Pelodiscus sinensis: one gene and its partner. The protein of the gene in region 2 purifies or fractionates together with the protein of the main gene of each other region. This does not show direct contact. Links are inferred from orthologs where the notes say so. Each region holds a gene or a part of one and is shown on either strand. Other genes may lie near its edges.

The links. Proteins that work in one complex are often made in the same cells at the same time.
Region 1: the proteins of LPIN2 (region 2) and FBXW11 purify together in Homo sapiens (affinity purification with mass spectrometry; 4 studies listed by BioGRID and IntAct, with this or other methods). This does not show direct contact. The link is inferred for Pelodiscus sinensis from reciprocal best matches to the Homo sapiens genes LPIN2 and FBXW11.

What each region holds. Positions count from the first base shown.
Region 1 is NC_134727.1:4,104,728-4,112,679, reverse strand, and holds the start of FBXW11 (F-box/WD repeat-containing protein 11), read right to left. Parts: upstream 3,007-7,952; 5' UTR 2,896-3,006; coding exon 2,851-2,895; intron 1-2,850.
Region 2 is NC_134712.1:81,421,478-81,429,114, reverse strand, and holds the start of LPIN2 (phosphatidate phosphatase LPIN2), read left to right. Parts: upstream 1-4,618; 5' UTR 4,619-4,672; coding exon of another isoform or gene 4,673-4,690; 5' UTR 4,691-4,789; coding exon 4,790-4,876; intron 4,877-7,637. UniProt on the Homo sapiens protein: Acts as a magnesium-dependent phosphatidate phosphatase enzyme which catalyzes the conversion of phosphatidic acid to diacylglycerol during triglyceride, phosphatidylcholine and phosphatidylethanolamine biosynthesis in the endoplasmic reticulum membrane.

The DNA of each region.
Region 1 (7,952 bases), on a different chromosome or scaffold from region 2:
CTTCACTATTTTTTATTTATTTATTTATTTATTACAGGCTGCTTTTTATTTGTTTCCAGTTTCACAGAATCTTAAATATCCCTTTTGAGGAAGGAGGCAAAACACGATCAAGTTGTTAAATAATATTTGTTTATGAAGACTGTATAGATTCAGTATAACATTTAGCGCAGGTCAAAAGTATGTTTTAATGCTGCCTTAACTGGCATTAAAAATAAGTGTAAAATTGTAGACATATTTACAAACTACTGTTTTCTATGTAATAATCTGTAAAATATACTTTTTTCTTGATCTTATTATTTGTATTAATTTAATAGAAAGCAGCAGCCTTGGTTTTCAGCCCCACACATTCACTCTTTACAAGCACTGCCAGTTCATATATACATTAGCTAAAGTAACTGTACATTTTATTGGATTCCTATTGCATAATGCAAAGAAGCCTTGATTTTTATTTTTTTAAAGAGATCCAAAATCTTTTAAAGTTGTTTTATTAAAATCCCTTGGTTGCTTTTTTACCATTTCCCAGAAGTGATCACGGTTGCAATTAAATTATTCCAAACAATTATTTGCTTCTGTTAGTTAGCAACACAGCCAAAAAACAGAAAATACTAAAATGGAAGTCAGTCTGTCAAAAGACTGCCAAGAAAGTTAGATAGCATTGTTTCACCTGTCTGGCTTAAACACCCATTAAATTTTAGTACACAGCCACCATGAGTACCTACTCATTATGTGACACAAAACCACCACTAAAATTCATCTTGTGCATTGTATATGCAATTATATTTGTTCCTGTAGAACTCATTCCTGGACAACTAGAATTTTTTTCTTCAACTGATGATGTCTGACTGGTTGATTTCACCAGCTATTGTTTGCAACATTACAAGCTGTTAACATGAAAGCAATTCTGAGGTCATCAACATTAAAATATGGGGTTACTAAATCAATAAGGATCAAGAAAGGACTCTCTTAAGAATAGCTACAGCTACAGACCTCAGTGATCAGCAACGAGATAAGAAAATGCAGAAAGCATAACATGAATTTCTGCTTAGTAAAAGAACAAGATTAACAGTGCTCAGCCAATGATATGAAAATTTTATAAAAGAAGTTTACAGAACATCAAACCTGGTCGTTTGCTCAGACTATATTACTAAAAGAATGTGGAAATACCTAAAAATGCCAATTTGTGTCATCTTATGCCTATCCAGCACCTAGAACACTTCCAATGGTCAGTTAAAGCATGCATGAGATCTTGTTATCTACATTATTTTTATCACTGAAAGAAAATTAGCCATACTGCCTCAGGCCAATGGTACATCTACTCCAGCATCCTGTCTTTCAACAGTAGACAGTGCCAGATGCTTCACACAGAATGAAGCAAACAAGATAATTATTGAGAGTAGCACATAGAAGTCCCATTCATGGACAAGATCCCATTGTGCTAGGCACTGTACAAACACAAAACAAGGATAGCTGTGCATCATTACATTTCTATCTAATAGGTAACAATGGTTAGTGCAGGCAAAGTAGTACACAAAATATTAAACTTGATCACCAATTCTAATCTATCCCAGATATTAATTTAAAAAACATTTTTCCCCTAAAGTTATCTTAACATAATTCTACTAATATTTTGTGACTGCTCTTACTATTTCTATAAAGAATCCCTCTCACTGTCCCACAGCTAACTTTCCGGCAACCTAAGTTTAGTGCAATAAACATTTAGTAAATCAACTATAGAACCCAGGTTTCAAGTTACACAGAGTTTGCAAAATTATTTACTGCACTGAACAATTCACAAAAGGCCTATTGCTTCTGCTGAGAGATATAAATCAATTCAGTAAATGCTTACTCACTGAAATAAAACACACATTCTCAAATATAAGGAGTAAAAATAATTCCCAAATATTTTATATATATATATATATATATATATATATATATATATATACACACACACACACTAGCCACTTTAAAAACACAGTATTAATTACAAAATATATTTGATTAAAATAGACCTACATGCTAAGCTACAAATTCTTTGCCTTCTAAGACAAACCCCTTTACATATTTGGTAATCAATTTAACCAAGTGATTCAAAAATACTGGGTTGCAGAGGATGTTTATCATCATCTGTACTCAAAGTTAAAAAAACAAGATGCTGCATCTCAGGAAGAGCTCCATGAACAAAAAGGGGACAATGACTACATGCTGAATGTCATCTTGTTTAAAAAAAAAGTGTGTGTTTAATTGCCCACATAATCCACACTGATCAGTGATTATTTGTAAAAATAATTAATAACCTGCTTGTCCAATCTTCCCCACCGCACAAAAAAAATCTCAGGCCCTTTTCAATGGCTTTCCAAACGAGATCCTGGATGGGGGGGGGTCCATATTTTCGGGAGGGGCGTGGCTTGTTTGTTGAATGACAGGTCGAGGTTATTCTGAGGAACAATGAAGAGGAGGGGGCGGATTTGGGGGCCAGCGGGCAGGAGCTGGACTGGGGGAGGGAGCCCCGCGCGTGGGCCCGAAGGTCTCGCGGCAGGAAAGGGGGGGGGCTCCCTGGGCCCAGCCCCGCTCACCCAGCAGCCGGCGGGGGGGGGGGGGGGGGGATGATCCCGATCTCGCACCTTCCACGCAGCCCGGGCGGATTCAAATGTCACCTTCGCTCAGGGTGGGGGGCGGGGGGAGCCCCCCCGCAAGGCCCGAGCCCGCTCCCCCTCCCCCGGCCGCGGCGGGGCCTACTCCTGGCTCAGCGTGGGACCAGAGGCCCGCCCCGCCGCTCTCCTGCCCGGCCGGGGGGGGCACTCTGGGGTGGGGGAGGGGAGGTTCCGGCGGGGGGGGGGGGGCACTCACCATCAGCTCGATGGTCTTGTCCTCGATCACTGAGTCGGGCTCCATCGCGGCGGGCGGCTCCGCGCCCCTCCCCCCCGCGCCTGCCTCCCGCCCGGCCGCAGCGCGGAACCGAACCCCGCCTGGCTCCGACCTCGGGCCGCCGCCGCCAGCTGCTCCCGCCCCCCGCCCGCCGGACGCACGCAGGCTCGCGGTGCCCGCCGCGCGCCCGGAACAGGAAGCGCCGCCAACGCCCCCCCGCTTCCCACCTCGCCTCCGCAGGGCCTACGACTCCCGGCAGGCTCCGCGGCGCCTTCGCCGCACGGCGCGGAGAGGACTGCAAAGCCCAGCAGGCCAGGCGCCAGGAACGGCCCTCGGAGTGCATGCTGGGAGATGGAGTCTTGTGAAGGGAGAGCCCCAGGCTGAGTGGGGCTGGCGGGCCACTGAGGCCCAGGCCAATGGCACCTTCCCATCCCACCTGCCAGCAAGGCCCCCCGCCCAGGGCAGGCCTGGCGCACCCACACGCCCTCCCGCCCTGGCCTGGGGCGAGAGACCGGCAGGGTGCTGGGCCCCACGGCGCGTCCCACCGAGACCGGCCAGACTCTGAGCCCCACGGCACGTCCCACCGAGACCAGCAGGACGCTGAGCCCCACGGCGCGTCCCACAGAGACCGGCAGGACGCCGGGCCCCACGGCGCGTCCCACAGAGACCGGCCAGACTCTGAGCCCCACGGCGTGTCCCACCGAGACCCGCAGGACACCGGGCCCCACGGCGTGTCCCACCGAGACCAGCAGGACGCCGGGCCCCACGGCGCGTCCCACCGAGACCAGCAGGACACCGGGCCCCAGGGCACGTCCCACCGAGACCCGCAGGACGCCGAGCCCCACGGCGTGTCCCACCGAGACCCGCAGGACACCGGGCCCCACGGCGCGTCCCACCGAGACCGGCAGGACGCCGGGCCCCACGGCGTGTCCCACCGAGACCGGCAGGACGCCGGGCCCCACGGCGTGTCCCACCGAGACCAGCAGGACGCCGGGCCCCACGGCGTGTCCCACCGAGACCGGCAGGACGCCGGGCCCCACGGCGTGTCCCACCGAGACCGGCAGGACGCCGGGCCCCACGGCGTGTCCCACCGAGACCGGCAGGACGCCGGGCCCCACGGCGTGTCCCACCGAGACCCGCAGGACAGAAAAGATCATCAGCGCTCTCAGAGATATAAGGCCCTTATGATTGCACACGGTTTAATATTCTAGTATTTCATTCAGAACTGTGGTATATTTGTCTGAATCCCAGTTTCCCTGTTTTTGTATTTGGGGCAGCGATGAAGAATGAAGAGTTTACTGTGGTCTGAAAGCAGCTTTAGGCCAGCTAGGAAAGTCCCTAAAACAAAGGAGTGATTTTAGATGCCATTTCTTCCTACTTAAAGCCCCTTTGCATTGCCAGAGGGATGAAAAGCAGCCTTTGGACCCATTATCCCTAATTGTTGAATTTACTTACCATTTCCGTATCTTTTGACCACATAGAGTTTATTAATTGTAACATTCCTGGCATTGCTTTTTTGTGATTCTAGCACTATCTTCCTTGCAATCCTTTTAGGCAAGGATTTTGACTAATATTCATCTTAATGGCACAACTGAATGTTCTCTGTTCTATCCAAAATGACAGTTGAAACAATACAACAGAGCTTTACATCCAGATTCTTTAAAGACGTAAGCACATTCCAGTGCAGCTAGACAATATTAAGATATGAGATTAAAAAAATTGAGGTTTCTGCCAGCTCCATCTGTACATATGGTAAAGGGATGTTACTTGTCTTTTATATCCCTTTAAAAATCAATTTCACTTTTTGTTTATAGTGAGTTTCACTTTCAGTTTCTCAAGTGTACTATTTGCTTATTTAAAGTCAATTGTTTTTTTACCATGGAAAATAACTAAAGCCTATGGTGAGAGAGAAAGCAGTGACAGAATATATAAGGAAACAATACTACTACACAATAGTTGCTAGTAGTAGCCAAGCTTTGAAACCTTTATAAGTGACAATCAATGAAAACTATACAGAAATATTTATGAGTCAGGAATGAAGGTCTAAAAGCTATGAATAGTTAATGTGGTCTACCTTATAGATCCACATTGTGATGGGAAATGTCCTTTAAATCTATTATAGGTATGGAAAGCATGTCCTATTTTGTTTGTTTTTATATTCATCCCCTGAGTATGTATTCAAGTATTGCATAGTTTTACAGAGCGAGTAGTGATTGAGGATGGAGACAGTCTGCATAAAATGTGTTATTCTTGCAAGTAGTAGGTTTCCAGATGTCACATATGTGCTCACATTAGAAATCCACTCTCAAACTAAGGAAAAGTTTTTTCACCAGGGCTACGTCTACACTGGCACGTTCTCACGCAAAAACTCTTTTGCGGAAGAGTTCTTCTGCAAAAATTCTTCCAGAAGAGAGCGTCTACACTGGCATGCGCTTTTGCGGAAGAGATGTGCTTTTGCGCAAGAGCATCCATGCCAGTGTAGAAGCTCTCTTGCGCAAGAAAGCTCTGATGGCCATTTTAACCATAGGGCTTTCTTGTGCAAGAAATTCATGTTGCCTGTCTACACTGGCCTCTTCTGGAAGAGCTCTTGCGCAAAAGGGCTTCTTCCTGAGCGGGAGCATCAGAGTTCTGGTGCAAGAAGCCCTGATTTTACACATTAGAACGTCAGTTTACTTGCACAAGAACATGTGGCCAGTGTAGACAGGCAGCAAGTTTTTGCGCAAGAGCATCCGCTTTTGCGCGAGATCGCGCCAGTGTAGACACAGACCAGGAGCGCAAACTTGTTCCTATCATCATTTTCATACCTGTTGCAGTATTATCAATACTGGCATCCTACCAACAGTGAGTGAAATTCATCTGTGTGCAGAGGGCTAGCACAGGGCCTATGGATCGCCTAAACACCACTTAAGCCCTCAAAATCAGGTTTAATTTAGACTAAGATATATTGCTGGCCTCTGACTAGGGATGAATTTCCTCCACAACGCTGTAGTGGTAATGAATGAGATCTCTCATTTCTATGCTAAGTTTCGAACCTGGCCCTAGAAATCTATTGGCATAAGATTTTATAAAAGATTATTTTTACAAAATGTAATGGGGGTGTGTGTCACATTTAAGTTCTCAACATTCTTTTAACCTTTTTAACCTTTATTGCTTCGTTAGTAATAGTGCTTTTCCTTCAGTTCATGCCATAATTCAGAAGTCGAAACAAAAACAAAAAATTTCCTAAAACCTCTCTCATTTAAAAAAACAAAACAATTCTACTTTTGGTTGGCTAGTGGCAAGTAGGGGTGTGAAAGACTAGTCGATTAGTCGCTTCCTTCCCCCTTGCTGCCTCTATCAGAAAGAGGTAGCAAGGGGGGGAGGGAGAGGGTACTTCAAAGCAGCAGTGCCGCTCAGACCCTGGACTCCACGCGGTGCTGCCGCTTTGAAATGCCACATGCAGCCTGGGGCCAGCTGGGGTGTCCCCAGGCTGAATGCGGCATTTCAAAGCAGCAGTGTAGCATGGAGCCCAGGATCAGCTGGGGACTTCCCACTGACCCCGGGCTCTGTACAGTACTGCCACTTTGAAACGCCATGGGGAGCCCAGCATTAGTCTGCATGCAGTGTTTCAAAAAGGCAGCACTGCGTGAAGCCCAGGATCAGCTGGAGATCCCGGGCTCCATGCAGCGCTGCCACTTTGAAATGCTACGAGGAGCCTGATGCTGGGCTCCCCATGGTGTTTCAAAGCAGCAGCGCCGCACAGAGCTTCGGGTCAGTGGGGGAGTCCCCAGCTGACCCCAGGCTCTTCTGTTGCTATACTTCAAAGACGGAGGCGCCCTATCGACTAATCGAATAGTCGATGCAAAATGCATCGACTATTTGATTAGTCAATTAGTCAATATTTAACAACCCTAGTGGCAACATGTGACAGATGATTCCCCATAAACTGAACGACATACAGTGATAAAGCCCAAGTTTTACTATAGTAATATACAGGCTGGTATGTATGTATAGTACTGCCTTCTCCTGGATGGAGTTAGAAATGCTTGCTTCTGTCAAACTTTAGATTGCTGAAAGCTAATAGATTGCTTCTTCAAATTGTAGCAACCTATGCATTTGGAGGAGGAAATTCTGAATTATATCCTTTGTCATGAAATTCCCAGTCCCCATAGCTTTCAAAGTCCTAAATACATTAATTGATTACACTTTTGTCAGAATTGAGATGAACCATGAAATGCCTGGAAAAACTTAAAAAACAACAAACAGTCTTGCACCACCTTAAAGACTAACAAAACCTGTAGACGGTATCATGAGTTGCAAGACTATTTGCTGCTTTTTAAATTTTCCCAGTTACAGACTAACTCAGCTACCCCTCTGAAACTTATGAAAGGCCTGTTCTTTAAGACAAAAGGTCTGATTAGGGTAGCAGGAGTGAATTGTCTGCGTGTATGCCAGTGCCCTCTGCTGGATGAAATGAGGCATGCTTAAATGTGTGTCTTATTTTGCTAACATCCAGTGAAGAGTCTCCTTCAGCTCAAGTGACAGTAGTCTGGTCTTTTGGAGCAGCTATATCTAAATTCTGTTCCCATTCTGCTCTGGTTCTGAGTGGCCCTATGCAGCGTAGCGACAACTATAAAGATCTAAGTGGCCCCAGATTTATTAGCCAGTAATAATAGTGTGAGTACTGAGAGTGTGCTTCTAAAGGCAATGTATGGTCTTTGCCCTGAGAAACTTTCAGTCTAGGTTAGATGCAGACAGAAGGGATCAAACCGTTCCAAACAGAGGCAGGGCAGTTCCATGGCACATACAAAGAACTATTACATTGCTTGACCACAGGATGATGTCCCAGACAGCTCCATCAAAATAATTGCAAACTGCATTCTTAGCAGGGAGCTGCTTCTTTAGACATTTGCCAGACGTTTTAGTGTCTGCATCCCATTTCCAGCCAGCCAGCCAGCCTGCTAGCAAAGAGCCAGGATCATGCTCTACCAGCTCCTTCACAGTGATGCAGAGTGACAGACTCCGCTCAAGCATCTGCAGCCTGTGGCTGAGGAAAGGCTATTGGAGCCAACAGTATGTTAATGAGTCTGGAGACAAAGCGGTGT
Region 2 (7,637 bases):
GTGATAGGGAATAGCCAGCATGGGTTTGTGAAGAACAAGTCATGCCAAACTAATCTGATAGCTTTCTTTGATAGGATAACGAGCCTTGTGGATAAGGGAGAAGCGGTGGATGTCATATACCTAGACTTTAGTAAGGCATTTGATACGGTCTCGCATGATATTCTTATTGATAAACTAGGCAAATATAACTTAGATAGGGCCACGATAAGGTGGGTGCATGATTGGCTGGATAACCATAGTCAGAGAGTTGTTGTTAACGGTGCTAAATCCTGCTGGAAAGGGATAACAAGTGGAGTTCCACAAGGGTCTGTTTTGGGACCCGTACTGTTCAATATCTTCATCAATGATGTAGATATTGGGATAGAGTGTACGCTTATTAAGTTTGCAGATGACACCAAACTGGGTGGGGTTGCAACTTCTTTGGAGGATAGGGACATAATTCAAAATGACCGTAGCAAGTTAGAGAAATGGTCAGAGGTAAACAGGATGAGGTTTAATAAAGAGAAATGCAAAGTGCTCCACTTAGGAAGGAACAATCAGTTCCATACATACAAGATGGGAAGCGACTGTCTAGGAAGGAGCATGGCGGAAAGGGATCTAGGGGTCATAGTGGACCACAAGTTGAATATGAGTCAACAGTGTGATGCTGTTGCAAAAAAAGCAAATATGATTCTAGGTTGTATCAACAGGTGTGTTGTAAGCAAAACTCGTGAAGTCATTCTGCCGCTCTACTCTGCACTAGTTAGGCCTCAGCTGGAGTACTGTGTCCAGTTCTGGGCGCCACATTTCAAGAAAGATGTGGAGAAATTGGAAAGGGTACAGAGAAGAGCGACAAGAATGATTAAAGGCCTAGAGAACATGACCTATGAAGCCAGGTTTCATGAACTGGGCTTGTTTAGTTTGGAAAAAAGAAGATTAAGGGGGGACATGATAGCGGTTTTCAAATATCTAAAAGGGTGTCACAAGGCGGAAGGAGAAAATTTGTTCCTCTTGGTTTCTGAGGACAGGACAAGGAGTAATGGGCTTAAAGTGCAGCAGGGGAGGTTTAGATTGGACATTAGGAAAAAATTCCTAACTGTCAGGGTGGCCAAATATTGGAATAAATTGCCAAGGGAGGTGGTGGAATCTCCCTCTCTGGAGATATTTAAGAACAGGTTAGATAGACATCTGTCAGGGATGGTGTAGACGGAGCTTGGCCCTGCCTTGAGGGCGGGGGGCTGGACTCGATGACCTCTCGAGGTCCCTTCCAGTCCTATTATTCTATGATTCTATGATTTTCAAGCAATTTTATAAAACTTAATATTGTTAGGGAGAGTGGTTGGTTGGTTGGTTTTAGTACTCTTGCTATTCCTTTGATTTATTTCATTGATTTCCCTGAATTAGGAGTCTGTGTGTTATCAGGATCAAGAAACAGTGAGGTTGCATTGCATTACAGTAAAATTCAGGTATAGATGAGTACATAATGTAGAAAACACTTCCACATGCTGGGGTTGAACTGACTTTTTACAGTCAGTAGCTTTGTGACTGTCCACAAAAGTTCAGTCATCAGGACAAATATTTTATACTAGGATACAGTTCTATTCTGCCCCCACTCACCTTTCCAAAGAGAAATTATGGAATCTTAATTATGAATGGAATTTAAGAAGAAAAATCAAGACTATTTTATATGCAAATTAAATGCATGGCTAAATTAGTTTTGTACTGAGTGTACTTAACTCCAGTCAATGTTAAGGGAGATAAATGTATCAAGGAGAAATGAATTGTGAGAGAGAGTAGAGTAAGGAAAGTTTCCATTTGTCATTATTATCAGATTTCATATTTGCACTTTTTGGTAAAGACTTTATGGGACTTAACATTTGAAATTTCCATGCTTGTATCTGATGGTGATACAATGCAATATATGTTTAAAAGTAAGCAAATGCTATTGATAACATTAATTATTGTTGGGTTACTTTTCATATTTTCAATTTTGCAGTGTACTTGGATGCTTTTTTAATTGAAAAATAGAATACCAGCAGATGAGAGAGGGATAAAAATAAAGACCTAAATAATCCAAGACTGTTCAATATAAATATGAATAATCTGTTTTGTGGACAATCCCTCTTGTATGTATCTATAATATAGGCTCTTCACATGGTGCTGCTTGCTTGAACCTCTTCCCAGAGTTTAGTCATTACATTGAGGTTTCAGTGGAGCAGAGGGGTTTGCACTTTCTGTGCTTTGGTCATCCCAGTAAGAAATTGAAATGAAAGGAAATACAGCACAAATGTCATGTTTTCCCTCCATGATTGCTAGAGAGAGACCCATCCAGTTGTGATGTGGCTTTAAGACGAACTGCATGGCTCTGAAGAGAAGGATTATCAGCATGGCTATGAAAGTGCAATATTGGGAAGGTGTTCAGTCTCAAATAAACAGATCACTTTTCCTTTCCTCAAATTATGCACTTAAAACTATTGGATAGTTTTGAACTTAATCTCTCTCTGCCTCAGTTCCCCTCTGTAAAATGAGGATAATACTCATTCATCTCATGTGGATATTATGAAAATAAAAGTTGAATTGCACTGTGATACTACAATGACTGCCATAGAAAAGATCCCGAGGGAGCTAATTCTGTATTCAGAGCAGTGTTTGAATATTATGACGTGAACAAGGCATGGGGACACACATTGAACAATATAGATAACATAAAATATTAGCTGTTCATTAAGTTTCCTGTCCACTGAATTAGGAAGTACTTATGTAGAAAAAATACTATGTGATCATATAATTTGCTGTTCACAATGCCTTTGCAAAAAGTGTCTAAATTAAGGTTGTGCAAACAACCTTAATTTTGGCATTTCATAACTATAGCATGCTTGGCTTTGCAACTAGGGATGTAAGTGAATAGTTGAGTAGTCTAGGCGTATTGGCTAATCTAGTCTAGGGATGTTAAATTTAGTTTAATCAACTAGTCGATGGATTGTCCATCGACTAGTTAAGTGGGGAACAGCAGCAAGGTTAGCTCCTGGCTCGCAAGCTCCGCCTTTTAAATGGATTAAGAGCCTGTTGGCTGATTCCCGCCTCATGCCCAGTCCCTGCTTCCCTCCTGCCCCCAGCGGAGACGGTGCTGAGGAGAACTGGCTTTTAAGCCGGCTCCCCCCAGTACCAGCCCCTCCTCCCCCCTTGCTACCTCTGTTAGAAGTAGCAAGCAGGGGAATGACTAGTCAAGGGGCTAGTCAACTATCTGAGATAAGCAAAAACTTATTAGATAGTTGACTAGTAGCTTACATCCCTAATCTAGCCAACTTCTTGCGTTTCACCCCCCCCTCCCCTTGCCTCTGTGTCTGCATCCAAGTGTTGTCCGGCTCCTCTCCCCCAATGGAGCAGTGGCACAGCCAGGGTGGGACAGACCCAGCTGTTGCCAGGGGAGGCACAAAGGGACCACAGGGAGCTTTGGCTGCTGACAGAGATCGTCTGTGGATTTGTGAGATCTTCCCACCTGTCCCATGTGTGTCCTCTGGTCCTGGAGGAGGGTGGGAGCATCCTGGCTTATCATAATGCAGCTGCTCCTGCCTTCCCCAAGCGGTGCCAGGTAGGCTGGAGCCTCTGTGCCTGGTTCATGCGTAGGCTGTGCAGGCTGGTGGGCATAGATCTCTCCAGGGTGGGGACTAGTGAAGTGAGGTGGGGACAGAGGAGAGTTTTAGGTGTCTTAACTTACTTCCTTCTGGGCTGCAGGCAGAACAAAAGGCCTAACTCATGACATTTGCATGATTACGTTTCAAACCAAGTTTACATAGGTGTTAATGGCTCAAGATAAGAAAGGAAAGGATTCTTTTAACAGAATTTTTTTTTTAGTGTTGTAGGTATCTGCAAACTCTGATCTGTTACAATGACGTGTGTACAGATGCAGTGTAAAATAATACATGGCCTCTTAAAATTAATTACCACAATGAATATTCAAATAAAATGTTACTGGTCTGCCAAAAGTTTATGAATGGGTTTGCCAGTCTCTGGTATAAAAAAGGTTGGGAACCACTGTTCTATGGTATTTACAACCACTTTCAGTTGCGGTTAATAGAGATTGAAATCTCTGTGGAAGAAAAATAACATTTTATATGGATGGTTCATATTTTTTATAATGTTGTCAAGGTCATCAAGTCTTAAAGGAGAAAATTGCTTTATTTAAATACTGATTTTTTTTTCCCTTAAAACTTAAATCTTCAGTTCAACTACTGATTTTATCTGCTGATGGCTTACTAGGGTAGACTGGCTGTTAGTGTATTCTGATAGTACCCACAGCAAGCTGTGGTCTGTACTGAAGCTCATGGCATCATTACAGGTGGTAGTTACAATGGCAAAAAATCTAAATGAATGTAGTGTTGACAAAGCATAAGAATCATTAACTAGATCCCTGTTTCATTACATGGAAGGCTCATCTAATATCATGTGACTTAGGGTAAATGATTTTGTATTACACTATCAGTGCAAACACATGCTTAAGTATAGCCATGTAACTTCTTATCTCTCACGGTGGAAGGGGCTGTGACAGTTCAAGCTAATCTTATTGGTGAAGGAGTTTCTATGTGACTTCTAAAGAAACATTTCCTTTTTTAACCATACCAATACGTGAGAAAGTAGACGCGAACATTGCTGTCTCTCAGGAAGGAAAGACTGCAGAGGAGCAAGTCGTCTTATGACTAAAATACTTGTGGTAAAAGTTTACTTCCATCTTAAAAGTTGACACGGCATAAAGTTATGATTTGTAGCTCGGTATTTACCTGTACTGTAAAAAGTTAGCTTCTCTAGGGAGATGAATTTCTCAGAAAATGATAATATTGAAGATGACCAAAACAAGAATGCAGTCACTGCCCATGAAGGGATCCCTTCTGGTATCTTGGTGAGTTCTGTCCCTTATGTCCTTATTTACTATAAATATAGTGACTGCATTCTGTTGGCATAGTAAAGTAGTTAATAGTTGCAGTAGATCAGTCTGAGAAATACTTAGTTTCAAGCTCTTCTTGAGTTGTAATATTTTAGAAAGCCTTAATTTGAACTTCAGCAGACTTGTTTTGGTTTTACCTTCTCTTGCATAACTACAGGCAGTTCAAGGTGCAACACTAAACTGCAACTTTTAATTTTTTATGCTTACTTAAGAGCAAAATATATATTTGATTTTTGCTTAAGTATATCTTGCCATACTTAGTTCCTCTGTTAGATATTACCTCTGTAGACTTGGTTAACATTCACTATAAAGCATATGAAATGACATAGTTAGAAATGTATTTTTATACACAAACTGAAAATGAAAATAAATTAGAATTTTTATTCAAGTGACATTTGGAAGCTGCCAGTCCCCTGCGTTATTCATTGTCATTAATTAACTAAATACAAGTAAATTAGTATGTTTGAGTTAGAATACTATAGTTGCAATTATAGTTTTGCTGATCTTGTAATTAAATATGTACCAAACTCTAAATTAAAATGACTGAGACACTAATAAAAATTATAAATGAGGAATAAATCTAGTAAAATTTTGAGTAAATGACTGTTTTATCCAGTTAAACATAACTTCTACCTGATTGATAAATATCTATTTTAACCTGGGCAAAATCAGGTAACTTGAAGAAAATCAAGACTACGCTCTTGATTTTTCTTTTGCATTCTTCCCTTTTTGTAGTAGTAATGAAAAGGAGCAATTAGATCAAAAGGCATCTTGTACTAGATACAATGTGAAATCAATAGAAAAATTAATTCTGTTGATTTAAGACCTCTTGACGTTTTTTTCATAATACTAAGTAATGATTCATTCCCTTTGTAGCAGAAACATACTGTCAGTAGCTTTCATGTGTGTAGTGTGAACTGTCCAATCTGCTTGGAAAAAGCTGTACTTTACAACATATTTTAGTGTGTAATATTTTGGATTTCCCAGGCAATACAATATGTTAACCAAAGGCTGGATTAGTAAACCAGATGAAGTACTCTAGGGCTGTGTCTAGACTGCATCCCTTTTTCGTGAAAGGGATGCAAATTAGACATATCGCAATTGCAAATGAAGCAGGGATTTAAATCCCCCCCGCTTCATTAGCATAAAAATTACTGCCGCTTTTTTCCGGCTCGGCGCTTTGCCGGAAAAAAGCGCCAGTCTAGACGCGGATCTTTCGGAAAATAAAGCCTTTTCCGAAAGATCCCTTGTCCCTGAGGCTCTATTTTCTGAAAGATCCACGTCTAGACTGGTGCTTTTTTCCGGCAAAGCTCCGAGCCGGAAAAAAGCGGCAGCCATTTTTATGCTTATGAAGCAGGGGGGATTTAAATCCCCGCTTCATTTGCGGGAATTACGAAAAAGGGATGCAGTCTAGACACAGCATAGGACTGTGAGCTAGGTTTTAAAAATGAAGACTGTTTTTCCATTGTGGTATTGGAAATTCCCAGGAAATTCTTTCTCTTCATATAGGTGCTGTTCTAGCTGTGTCACATGCTTGCATACAGATGTTCTATTAAAAGTTCCTGAACTATGAACAACGCATATTAATGTAAATTGTATTACTTTTGCAGTACTCAAAAATACTAAGGGGCTGTGCCCAGTGTTCCCCCTAAGATGAGCTGCAGCACAGCTTCACAGGTGATTAATCAGTCTTGCCCAGTCATTCAGCTCTGTGCTGGTATCCCTGAGCCTCTGACTGGGTAGGACTGATTAATCACCTGTGAAGCTGTGCTGCCCCAGCAGTTTAGAGGGAACACTGACGGCAGGAAAAATGTATATGGGGGTGGGGGTGAGATGTTATATCAGTGGTCCCCAACCACTAGAGGTTGCCGGGCGCCAGGGGGCGTGGCCGTTTGCCCACCGGGCACCAGAGGACGGGGACACTTGCGCGCCTGGGGGCGAGGGCGGGGCCCCCCCAAGCGGCACGCGCCCAGAGCACAGCCAATCTGCGGCGCTCCCGGAGCCGGCGCTCACCGTGCATGTGCCACGTTCCCGGGGCCAGGCCATCCCCGAGCACTTGGCAGGCGCACACAAATGCCCCCACGGGCGCCATGGCGCCCGCGGGCACTGTGTTGGGGACCACTGTGTTATATGCTTTGTCAGTTTTGAGGCAGGGACCATGTCTGTCTTAGTTTAGAATTTCCTGAATTTCAGAGTTCACTGCTGAAGTGTGTTAAAAATTTAATGTGAACTGTCGGAGCTGAAAATGCCTAAGTTGTATTCTATAAGCCTCTGTTCCTCAAACTGTAAAATCTACTTCATTTAAGGGTGGGGAGAGTTTAATGTAGTCAGTATTGGATTAAGTGTCTTTTATGTTGCATAGCTCATACTTATTTTTAGTTTCATAAACATGTGGCTTCATTTTCAGAGTGAGTACTTTTTCCCCTTGTTCTGAATTTACTGTTAAACTTTATCTTAAAAGATAGAGCAGGCAGTTGCAATTTTTACATTCCCTGTATTGGCTTATTGCAAATGCAGAGTGTTTTCCCTCCTAGTTAGAGGCACAGGATGCTCCACCAATATTTGAATATTTTCAATTATGGGGGCTCTTACAAATGTAAGCTTATAACTTTGATGTTCGAAACACAAGACCTCTGGAGCATTAAAAGTTACAAGAAGTTCCCTTTTGCAGTGGAGCCCTCAGTATCGCTGGGCCTTTAAAATCTGCTGTTAACTC